Caenorhabditis elegans: one gene and its partner. The protein of the gene in region 1 interacts with the protein of each later gene in a pairwise test. Each region holds a gene or a part of one and is shown in the gene's direction. Other genes may lie near its edges.

Region 1 (5,683 bases):
TTTCGATATGTACATGAGGAAGGGACAGAATATAAGGCAATATAATTACCGATTTTTCAAAAATCAATATTTACAGACAGCAACTCGTTCTTGGTCTACTGATTCCAAGCGTCTTATCCTTTCAAGTTCCTGGTGCAGCAAGTTGGAACTGCTTTCCGTTAACATCGCAACTGGGAACATTGAAAAATTAACCAATCACTCCATATGCCTTGGAACTTGGTCTCTTCTTGATGTCTATGATAACGAAGTGCTCGCAGTCGTCTCTGCTCCGAATCGCCCACCAAACGTTCTTCTGGGACAACTTCCAGGGACAGGAAAAGCCGAGGAAATGGTTTGGGTGCGAATCGACGAGGCGAAGGCTGTTGATAAACGTCGTCATCTCTTCGAGTTCTCCTGGGAATTTGTGAATCTTGAGCGTGACGGAGCGACTTACGAAGGAATTCTGATTGTTCCAAATGAGGGAAACAATCTTCCAATGGTTGTGAATCCCCATGGTGGACCTCATGGTGCATCCATGGCAAGGTGAGTTACTTTTTCCCTTTTTTAAACGTTTTTCATTTAAAAGTTCAGCTGGCCACGTCGGGATCTTACTACTCTTCTCAACTCTGGATATGCCGTCCTTCAAGTCAATTTCCGTGGATCACTCGGATTTGGTGACGATTTTATTCGTGCTCTGCCTGGAAACTGCGGAGATATGGATGTTAAGGATGTTCATGTAAGGAGAACATTTTTTTAAAACTTTCTCTGTGTTATGGCAAGACTCAACCGGATGTTATAAAGCTTCAAAGTTCCGAAAATCAACCTCTTCGCCCGAATAACTTGAATTTCGCGCAAAAATTAACCCACTTACCGATTAATTTATTTTTCTGGAATTTAGTCGATTTTTCGTGTTTTTATATTGAAAATTTAAATGTTTTCTGACAAAACTTTTAACAAAAGTCAAAAATAATACGAAAAATCGTTTTTAGATTCAAAAAATGAATAAATCTATCCGCTGAAAATCCATGAAACACATTTACGCGCGAAATTTAAACAACGATAATGATTTTCGGTAGTTTGAAGCCTTTAAACATCCGTTTTAGACATTCTTGTGCTGTTTTGCATATCGTTTTGTCAAAGAATTTAGAACGTTTATTCGACTACACCGCATGTATTATCAATGTAATTAATACTAATTCAGAACGCAGTTCTCACCGTCTTGGATAAGAATCCACGTATTTCTCGAGACAAGGTTGTACTCTTCGGAGGATCTCATGGAGGGTTCCTGGTGTCTCATTTAATTGGACAATATCCAGGATTCTACAAAAGTTGTGTTGCCTTGAATCCAGTCGTCAACATTGCCACAATGCATGATATCACTGATATTCCTGAATGGTGCTATTTCGAGGGAACCGGAGAATATCCAGACTGGACAAAGATCACGACCACCGAACAACGGGAGAAAATGTTCAACTCTTCGCCAATTGCTCATGTGGAGAACGCAACTACTCCGTATCTCTTGCTCATTGGTGAAAAGGATCTTCGTGTCGTTCCTCACTACAGAGCATTTATTCGTGCTCTCAAGGCTCGTGGAGTTCCGGCAAGGTATTCTTGAAAAATTGTTTGCAAGAGAAATTGTTTTTTTTTTCAGGGTTCTCACCTACCCACCATCGAACCATCCACTTGATGAGGTCAACGTTGAGGCCGACTATGCAATCAACATGGTCCGCTGGTTCGAGAAATCACTGTCTCAGTAAATATACTAATGTCTATATGTATTTATCTATTCATCGGCTGCTTCTTTTCCTGCCCCCGGTATTTTTTCATTCATTTTCCCGTGATATTGCCTTGTAAATCTCTTATATATGAACGGTTTGTATATTCTGGAGGATTTCAGTTTTTCAACGGTTTTGGTTTTCCCATTTTTAATTATTTCTAGTGGAATTTCTAAATTGAACATCTGAAATTCCTAGAGATTTCTTACATTTCTTACAGGCAGTCAATATTTAGCAGCTTCATCATATACGTGTACAACTATAATGTCTACAGACGAGGAGGTCCCGTTGGCCACTCGTCAAATGCATGAAGCTTTTGTCACAATCTCACAACAAATGCTTCAGTTCCGGGTGAATACTGCACGTATCACAACTCCTTCCGATTACGAACCACAAGAAGTTTGGGTCATTTACGAGACATTAGAGTGCCCAGATCAACGGCAATACATGAGATCACGTGGATTAGTGTCGAGGAATAAACTTTGGATGTTAATGGAAACGGAAACGGATAAAGATTGGAAATACTTCACCCATATATTTTCGGATGATTGTAAAGTCTGCGTATTCGTAGCAGAATCCATAGAAATGGGTCACGATAAGGATGTTATTCAAGTAGAAGATGTTCAATATAAGAAGGCAAAATTCACGGTAGCTCTAGTTAAATACGTATATCATGGACCTATTATTGTGACAGGACCAAATGCTCATTTCAAACTTTCTCGAAATAATAAAAAATTGCTCTACTTTGCACTACCAAATGAAGAACAAAAGGAAACGCAGGGACGTGGTGAGCGCCAATTTGTGATATGCATCTTCGATTTCGATGCGAAAGGAGTTACAGTAATCACTGATGAGAATATTTGTAATCAGACGATCACAGCAGTCGAATGGACGCCTGATGGTCGGGGAATCGTATTTCATCGAGGACAAGACCTTCTCTGGCACAGATTTGGAGAGAAATATATAAATGAAATATCAACGAATCTATCGGCTCCGTTGAGGATTACTTTCTCGCCAGATGAAAGTCGAATGGCTGTATTTCTACGACCGAATATTCACAATGATGCTGATATTATTTTGGTTAGATATAGGAAATTCAAAAGTAGACTAGACACAAAATGTGCCTAAATGAACAAAAAATATATCGAAAATAATCGAATTTTAGCTAAAATCTCAAATCTAAGTCGCAGCTGTCTAAAATTGATTTTTACTTAATTATCATCATTTATTGCAAATTTTGGTAGTTTACCGCACGTGTTTTGGTCACTTTTGGCTACCTTTCGGCTTTAAATATGTCAAAATTACCGAAAAAACGTGAGATAAGCTATAAATATATGCAATATAGGCCGATAATCGAATAAAAATTAATTTCCACATTAAAATTGAAAAGATGGTAGGTTTAGCTAAAAATTTGCTAATTTTTCAGAAATTAGTTCTTTTTTGGCAGATTTTGTATCTATAAATACCCAAAACTGTTCTCCTTAAACAAAACTAATTTTCTTCGTTTTCAGTTCCATTACCCATTTGTAAAAGCTGCCGTCCAAGTGAGACATGACGTGCTGAGACTAGGAAAATCGAAAGTATGGAGCGTTCCCGATAGGCCGTGGGCTTGCAATGGAAAGCATTTATTGTTTAACACGAATTACAAGAATCAAGTGGTAACAAATATATTCGATTTAATTCTGCATTAAAATAAATTTATTTCCAGAATAATTTGGCGATTCACGTTGAAAGTTTAAGAACCACGTGCCTTGACTTGAAACGGCCTTCACTAATTATTGATGTTCGAGGCGATGAATTCCTTTTTGAAACGATCACAGCAAACGCTTATTCTCGTCTTTGGCATTCTCAATTGGGCTCACAAAGTGATGGTAAATTCACGGCATCGCTGTTATGCACACACAAGCCAGAAAACGATACGATTCACAATTTTCACATTTATCCAATGAGTTTTCAAAAAATTGGCAATTCTGCGATACTCTACATGTTGCCGGAATGTGTTTCTCCCGGATCGAAGTTCCCGCTGGTCGTGGTCCCCTTTTCCGGATTAGAACCTAATTTCACCGTTAGGTAGATTTTTTTTCTTTAGACTCAAAATTTATTGAAAAATCAACAAAAAAAGCATCGAAAGAATTGCAAAATTCACGGATCGAGCTTTCAATTTCAACCGCAATTTTCTATCTTTATTTTTTTAATTTAAAAATGTTCAAATAGCAATTTTCCCTGTTTATAAAGAATTGATTTATAAATTTAAAATTAAATTTAAATTTTCAGTACCGTTGACCCTGTGCTCTCTACAATGGTAACTTGTGGCTTCTGTGTGCTAGTTGTAAACTATCGGGAGCCATTTATAGCAATTCCAGGAACCTGCTTTCCAAAGAATTGTGGTTCGGAATGTATTAATGATGTTCATGTAGAGAATCGTTCGTTTTTTTCCTCATTTTATGATTTTTTTTACAGGAAACTGTACTAGAAGTTCTCGAGAGACACGGAGCGCGGTTAGATGAAAAATATATTTACTTGTATGGATTTGAATTTGGATCTTTTGTGGCGTGTAGTCTGATTATCAAACATAAGGTGGGATATTACATCGACGCGAGATTCTGCGATTTTTGGTGAAAAATACAATACCCGGTTTCGACACGACATGTTTTCTTCAGAAATATTTTGAAAGTTTTATTGATAGATCCGTCAGTTTTGCGACATTATAGTTAAAAAAAAACAAAGTCTCTGATTTCGGTACTCCACCTTTAACTTTCAAAAAATGTCGTGTCGTTACCCCGATATTTTTCTATTTTTGGCACGAAAATCACAAAATTTAGCGTCTCATGGATTTTCATATTTTTTAATTCACTATTTTCAGAAATTCTATAAAGGATGTGCACTCGTACGGCCGATGCTCGAATTTCCATTCACAACGTGTGCAGTTGATACAGAAAACCCTGAAGCTGAATTTCTGAAAGACGTGGAGCCGGTCTCACATGCGTCTGAAATTGTTACTCCGATGTTGATTGTTCTGGAGAATAAAAGCGATACAAAGTACAAAGATTTTGAGTCTACAATTCACAATAATGGCGTTCCGTGTTTTGGAGAATACGAAGAAGAAGACGAACAAGTGAATGATTTCGTTGTGAAAGTCATTCAATTTTATAGAACACCATATGGAGAATACGAGAATGGTTCTAGAATTGAAACGCCGGTTCCTGATGATTAATTATTTATTTTTTCTTTCTTGAATTATTACTAACTTATATTGTTAATTCATTAAAAAAACGCCGATTAGAACAATGTCTACATCAGCTTTAATTCGTTGTTAAAATATGTTACAAATTGGAATTTCGCTCAGTTTTAAATTTTTTATGTGTCGTTATGCTCAGATATATATTTTCTTTTTTTGAAATCTCGAATAAAATTTGAATTTCGTTAAATATATAACTATCGTTAAAAATCCATTGAAATAATATTTGCAAATCGATAATCTTTTAGATTGTTCAGTAGAGCGCGTCTGCACACTCCTCACCCGATTTGAATCGGAGCATTTATTCTAAGTTTATTGACGTCTTCCTCGATAAAATGTGAGTTTCCCATCGAATAAATTATAAAATCGCAATGAAAATTATTTCAATTTAATTTCAGATGACATTAGTAGCTAGTTCCGAAAACACAGGGCTCTGTCCAATGACATTTGATGATAGTTCTGGGCAAACCAGTCATATGTGTAAGAGTTTTGTATTTAATTCAATCTTGGCTTGATAATTAAATTAACTTTTATTTTTCAGTGTTCCAACGATTACAATATCAACGAAAAACCGGCCGATTTTGTGATGTGGAAATTGTTGTTCAAAACAAATCATTTGCGGCTCATCGAAACATTTTAGCAGCTCACAGTCCATATTTTGACGCAATTTTCAAATATTGCAAAATCACAA
Region 2 (5,793 bases), about 12 Mb from region 1:
TTTTTTCGTCATCATAGTTCTGAGTTTTAAATAATCTGGAAGTTGACCGATATGGCTGATATTGTTGGGCTTGTTATTACTAACAGTCTTCTATACAACCGCAAAATATTATCCAAGAAAAAACCAAAACTAGAAAAAAACGAAAAAACTTATTGAACGACCTAATAATCAAATTTGGGCAAAATCTCTTAAGTTGGAGTAGTGACCGCACCGAACATTAACCTATTGCGTTAAATCGATTTATCAGTTATTTGAAATTGTTTTAAATAAAAAATATTTTTAAATCGTGTCCATTCAGATTATTTGCAGTTGCCTATATCAGCATAGTGACACAGTCAGAAATTTTTTGTGTTAACACAATGTAGCGAGAATGGTTGTAAGGCAAATATAATCATGATTTGTACTATGGAATACAACAATTCTACAGAAAAATTGTACTTATAAAAATTATGTTTCACAATATTTATATTGCGTCACTGATATTTTAGTTATTATTTCAGAACTTTTTCATGAGAAAGATCTTAAAATTTCAATGATATGATTCAAAACAATTAATTTAAAACATTAAATTCAAAAAAAGTAAAACTATTCAAAACTTTTTTTGAAAATGTTGTTTATTTTATTTCAAAAATGGCAACCATTCTGTTAGGCACTTATTTGGAAATCGTTGAAAAAAAAATGTTTTCCTCCGAATTTTATGTTTCAAACGGTAATATTCAATTATTTTAGGGATAGTTTTCTTTAAAAGTGGCAAAAACTTAATAATTGGCGCTTTTCGGAAAAAAAAAATTTTCTAAAATTTTTATTGTTTCAACATGCTTTTATTATACTCTTTGTAAATTGGGTTTTATTCATACGCTCAAATTGTATTTTGGTAATTAAAAAAATTGAAACGTAACCAGGAAATTAATATCTGCCAGAAGTAGTCAAATGTAAGCAAAACCTCTTAAGTTGGAATAGTGACTATGGTGGTTTTTACAGAAAACTGTCTTGTTATAGGAAAAAAATCTAATAGTAACACAATGGTTTAAAAGAAAGCATCTACATTTTTTTAAAGGTAAAACTTTTTGAAAAAAAATTGGATTTTTAAAAATTCACTGTAAAAAGTGACTATTACTCAAATTTTGCCACTCATAATTTTATAAGTCGATCAAAAAAAAACTTCCTACAATTTTTTTTGCCAAAACTTTGACTGGAAGTTGTAAAAAATTTGAGTTTTTTGGAGTGTTTTTTTAAATGATATCCCCACTGGCGCTACTCCTCCATCAATGACTTTAAAAATTGATAAGAAATCGAAAAATCTGAATTTCGAAATTTACCGTTTCACCGCGTGCGTATAAAACTTTTCATCACATTTTGATCTATTTCTGATAGTGATCCGCTTTCAAACGTGTAAAACAATTTAAAATTAAACCAGAAGCTTCCGATAAAAGTATAATCAATAATAGGCTCCACCTATTTTTGGATTTTCATTGTATTTAAAGTTTTCAAATCGAATCCAGGAACAAAATCTTCAAAATTTGCAACAAAAAAAAAATTCAGTTTCAGCCTTCAAACAAATTTTAGTAACGGCTGTTTGACAATTTTTCGATCTTTGGGTTTCAAATTTTTACGAGTTCCCTTTTACCCCCGCTTAGTATGCTTTACCTATTCTTACTGTTGGCACACCCACCCACAAGAAAAAGTGTTAACAATCAGTAATAAAATGATGCCATAACTATGACAAATATAAACATTTTTGGCAAATCGAAACAAACATAAGCTATTGTGGGGCAAAGGTTAAGGAAACGGTATAAAAAAGGATTGAGGTAAGGTTTAAACTTCACTTTTAACTTTTGTGATTTGAACCTTCAAAATGCTTAAAATTCTACTGCTCCTCTGCTTTTTCATCTCCACAGCCGGAGCCTGTGCTCCGGGTACCGGAACGCTGGGCTCCAAGGGAACATTCAGCTATGAAATGAACCCTCCTGCTCTATACACCTATGATTCTCTAGCAGAATTTGAAAACGGACAGTTTGATCAAGCCTATGCTCAGCGAGTTGTGGTGTCGGATGTGCAGAGTGCGGTGAGTTAAATGCAATTTTAAATAAAAATCCCAATACAGAAAAAATTTCTACTGTTTCACAAAATTTTTATGAACAGCTACAGTTTTCTTTGGAGTTCGTATAATTGCATTTATTAAAAGTCCAATTATTAAATGTCCAACTATGGTGGTGGATAATTTTGCCAAATTTATAAAAGAATGTGAAATGGCAACACATCGCATAATGTTTAACGGTTGCATTATTATTTGAAAAAAATTTGAAATTCTCAGAAGCTTTATAAATTCTAGTCTAGTTTTGATGAAAAGCCATATATTTTCTTAATTTCCATCAAGCCAGCCTATTCAATAAAAAGCGATTCATAAAAAGTTTAATGAAATACTTTTGAAACATTAAAAATTTTATTGAAATTTTCTTTTTTTTTTCGAAAAGTGCCAATTACTACGTTTTTGCCACTTTTAAAGAAAAGTATAGCATATTCCAATCTCTACAATAATTGAAAAAAAACCCATAAGTGGGCCATAAAATTCGGAGGCAATTTTTTTTTTGACGAAAACAATAATAATAACTTTTTAGGCACCGTAGAGTTGAAACACTCCCTAGTAAGATAACAGTGAGCTAATAAGAATATTATAAAACATACTTTTTTACAAATAAAATTTTTACGTTTTATTGAAAATTTATTTTGTAGAAACATGTTATATTCTATAGTACAAATGCATGATTATATTACAATCTTTCTATTTTCATTGTGTTAACACAAAAAATTCTCACTGTTTCACTATACTGATATAGCCAATTGCAAATAATCGAAATAATTCTGTTCTCTCCTAGAAACTGATAAATCACTCAAAAGCGACATACTAGGTGCGCGGTCAATGAGTTAAAAAATTTATTTAAAAGCCTGTAGATTTAATTCGGAATATTTTCCAAAAAGTATTCGCTGCGAGCAGGATTTGAACCTACGCGGGCAATGCCCATTGGATTTCAAGTCCAACTCCTTAACCGCTCGGACATCGCAGCCCGGTTTCGGAGAGCTGGTTGGGGTGTTTTCGTTACCGCAAATGGCTGTGTTGTTCGCACATTTTGAGCGGAGAAATGACTGAAAAAAGTATGCTGAAAGAGAAGAGCCTAGAGATGTGTCTACCTACCACTAAATCTATTTTGTTATCACTTTTGAATTATTTTTTTTAGAGATAACAATCTGAAACATTAATTTTTGAAATAAACCACAAAGTATCAGGTTGTCCCATAAGTTTTTGTACTTTTTTTCAAATATTTTTCCAAAACTTCTAGAAAGTTTTAAAATTTTTTCATCGTAGGTCGTGTCAAGGTCGGGTCGTCCCCTTCCAGAAAAGATTCATTTCATCCATTTCTACTTTGCCACGATGACAATCATCAAACTTGAACGTCGAGACGTTAGATTGCTTCTTCTTTATGAATTTCGTCTTGGTCATTCAGCAATGAAAGCGGAACGAAACATATGCGGTGCGATGGGTGAGGGAGCACTCTCTTATAATACAGCAAAGAGTTGGTTTCAAAAGTTCAAGAACGGCGACTTCAGTCTCGAAGAAATAGAACGTTCTGGGCGACCGGTAGAGTTAAATGAAGAAGACCTAGTGAAGCTGGTGGAGGAAGAGCCTCGTCTTAGTCTTCGTGAAATGGAAGAGAAGCTTGAGTGTTGTCATAGCACAATTGCACGTCACTTGGGTCGCCTTGGTTTTACTTCAAAACTTGGAATTTGGGTGCCTCATGAACTTTCGGCATCACAGAAGCTCACTCGGGTCAACGTTTGTACTCAACTTCTAACTTTTCGTCGAAAGTTCGATTGGCTGAACAATCTGGTTACTGGAGATGAGAAGTGGGTGCTCTATGTTAACCATTCCAGAAAACGTCAATGGCTTCCGATCGGTGAGAAAGGAATACCGACGCCAAAGCCTGATCTTCACCCAAAAAAGATAATGATCTGTGTCTGGTGGGGTGTTCAAGGACCCGTGCACTGGGAATTGTTGCCAACTAATAAAACTATCACTGCTGATTACTATTGTGCCCAATTGGACCGAGTTGCAGAAAAGACCAACGGAAAATATGAAAAACTATATTTTCTTCACGATAATGCTATGCCTCATGTCGCCAAGAAGACTTTCCAAAAGCTGCAAGATCTTGGTTGGACTGTTTTACCGCATCCACCATATTCTCCAGATCTTGCACCAACCGACTACCATTTGTTCTTGTCTCTCAGTGACTACATGCGCGACAAGCAATTCGACGACGAAGAGCATCTCAAAACTGAACTCTCCACTTTCTTCTCATCGCGTTCGCCGGATTTCTTCTCCCGTGGCATCATGATGTTACCTAGTAAATGGCAACAAGTGGTGGACACTAATGGTGAATACTTGTGTGAATAGTACTACTTGTCGCTTGAGAGAAATAAATTTTTTTCAAAAAAAAAAATAGTACAAAAACTTATGGGACAACCTGATATTTATACCCATTATCAATAAAAAAAAACTGTTTCAAATATTTCATTTTTCAGGTTGTATAAAATTAATTCGTTTGTCGATCTTTTGAATTCTTTTTTAAAGATAAATAAGTCTGAAACATTAAGTTTCAAAATAAGCCACAAAGTATTTATACCCATTATCAAAAAAAAACTGTTTCAAATATTTCATTTACCAGATTATATTTCGGAGAGCTTGCTAAAATTTGTCCATACGAACCAAAAAAAATTATCTGCTCAAAACTTGTATAATAATGGAACCAAGTAGAGCGCTAAAACACTAAAAACACTATACAATACCAAAAAAGTTTAAAAATTCAAAAAATTCAGATCAACGACGTATTGCAAGCCAACAGTATCCCCCTAAACGACATAAACCCACCAGTCATCACATTCTCGCCTCCAAACGTCACACTTACTACAGTAACCGAGTGCACCGCCGACACCGCGGGTTACGGTGTTCTACAACAATCCACAGTCTACTATAAGTGTGCAGCGAAGGCTGGAACCGATGGAAAATACGCGAAAAGTCCGTTTGTTGTCCCTTTGACCGTTCAAGTGACCGCGATTTCTGCAATTTATGAGAGCCAGTGGAAGATGTTGGCTTCTCAGATGGCGGACAAGTTGACGACGAAGAGAGGAGCACAGTTTTATACAGATCCTATTGTTACTGTTGGTTAATTGGTTTTTTTTCTTTTTGTGGATTTGAAATAAAATTATATTAACAGCGAGAATTTTTTACATGTATTGAAGTTTGAACATGGGATTTGATCTGGCCGTACAGAATAGAATACGGAAAAAGTTGAAAATACTTTAACGTTATTTGAAACAGGGAAACATAAAGTTTTTATGGGCGTTGAAAGCGAAAAATTAAAAGTTGATCTGATTTTGAGAATTCAAATTTTTGACTGTTTCATTAACATCACTTAAGATGTGCATTATTTTGATTCAGTATTGAATGATATGCCAGATCACTGCAACTTTTTTCGAACGAGGGCCGAGAAAAAATGCGAAAAATCGGTGTTTGCACACAATACACCGCATTTTACGACATTTTGTACTTGCTTTGTTTTCTTGTGTTTTTCACCGATTTTTCCCGTGTTTTCTTATTAAAACTGATAAATAAATATTTTTGTTAATGCTAAAATAATTTCCAGATGAAAAAAATTGTGAATTCAGTCGGCAAGTAGCGGTAAAAGTGGTCAATGTAATATGATGGATTACGGGAATAAAAAACCCAAACTTTTTCCC

Evidence for each region. Proteins that work in one complex are often made in the same cells at the same time.
Region 2: the proteins of dpf-7 (region 1) and Y51H4A.8 interact in a two-hybrid assay, tested with the Caenorhabditis elegans proteins (one large-scale study listed by BioGRID).

What each region holds. Positions count from the first base shown.
Region 1 is NC_003282.8:4,798,884-4,804,566, reverse strand, and holds dpf-7 (Dipeptidyl Peptidase Four (IV) family), read left to right. Parts: upstream 1-1,974; 5' UTR 1,975-2,018; coding exon 2,019-2,834; intron 2,835-3,265; coding exon 3,266-3,412; intron 3,413-3,462; coding exon 3,463-3,824; intron 3,825-4,028; coding exon 4,029-4,167; intron 4,168-4,214; coding exon 4,215-4,331; intron 4,332-4,617; coding exon 4,618-4,968; 3' UTR 4,969-5,183; downstream 5,184-5,683. Other genes in the region: dpf-5 (acylaminoacyl-peptidase), read left to right, coding at 77-522, 571-715, 1,181-1,584, 1,631-1,736; eor-1 (Zinc finger protein), read left to right, coding at 5,391-5,472, 5,534-5,683.
Region 2 is NC_003282.8:16,574,578-16,580,370, reverse strand, and holds Y51H4A.8 (DUF4136 domain-containing protein), read left to right. Parts: upstream 1-1,821; 5' UTR 1,822-1,855; coding exon 1,856-2,065; intron 2,066-2,161; exon of another isoform or gene 2,162-2,182; intron 2,183-2,368; exon of another isoform or gene 2,369-2,390; intron 2,391-2,613; exon of another isoform or gene 2,614-2,637; intron 2,638-2,860; exon of another isoform or gene 2,861-2,882; intron 2,883-2,983; exon of another isoform or gene 2,984-3,065; intron 3,066-4,598; exon of another isoform or gene 4,599-4,619; intron 4,620-4,742; exon of another isoform or gene 4,743-4,763; intron 4,764-4,872; coding exon 4,873-5,223; 3' UTR 5,224-5,277; downstream 5,278-5,793.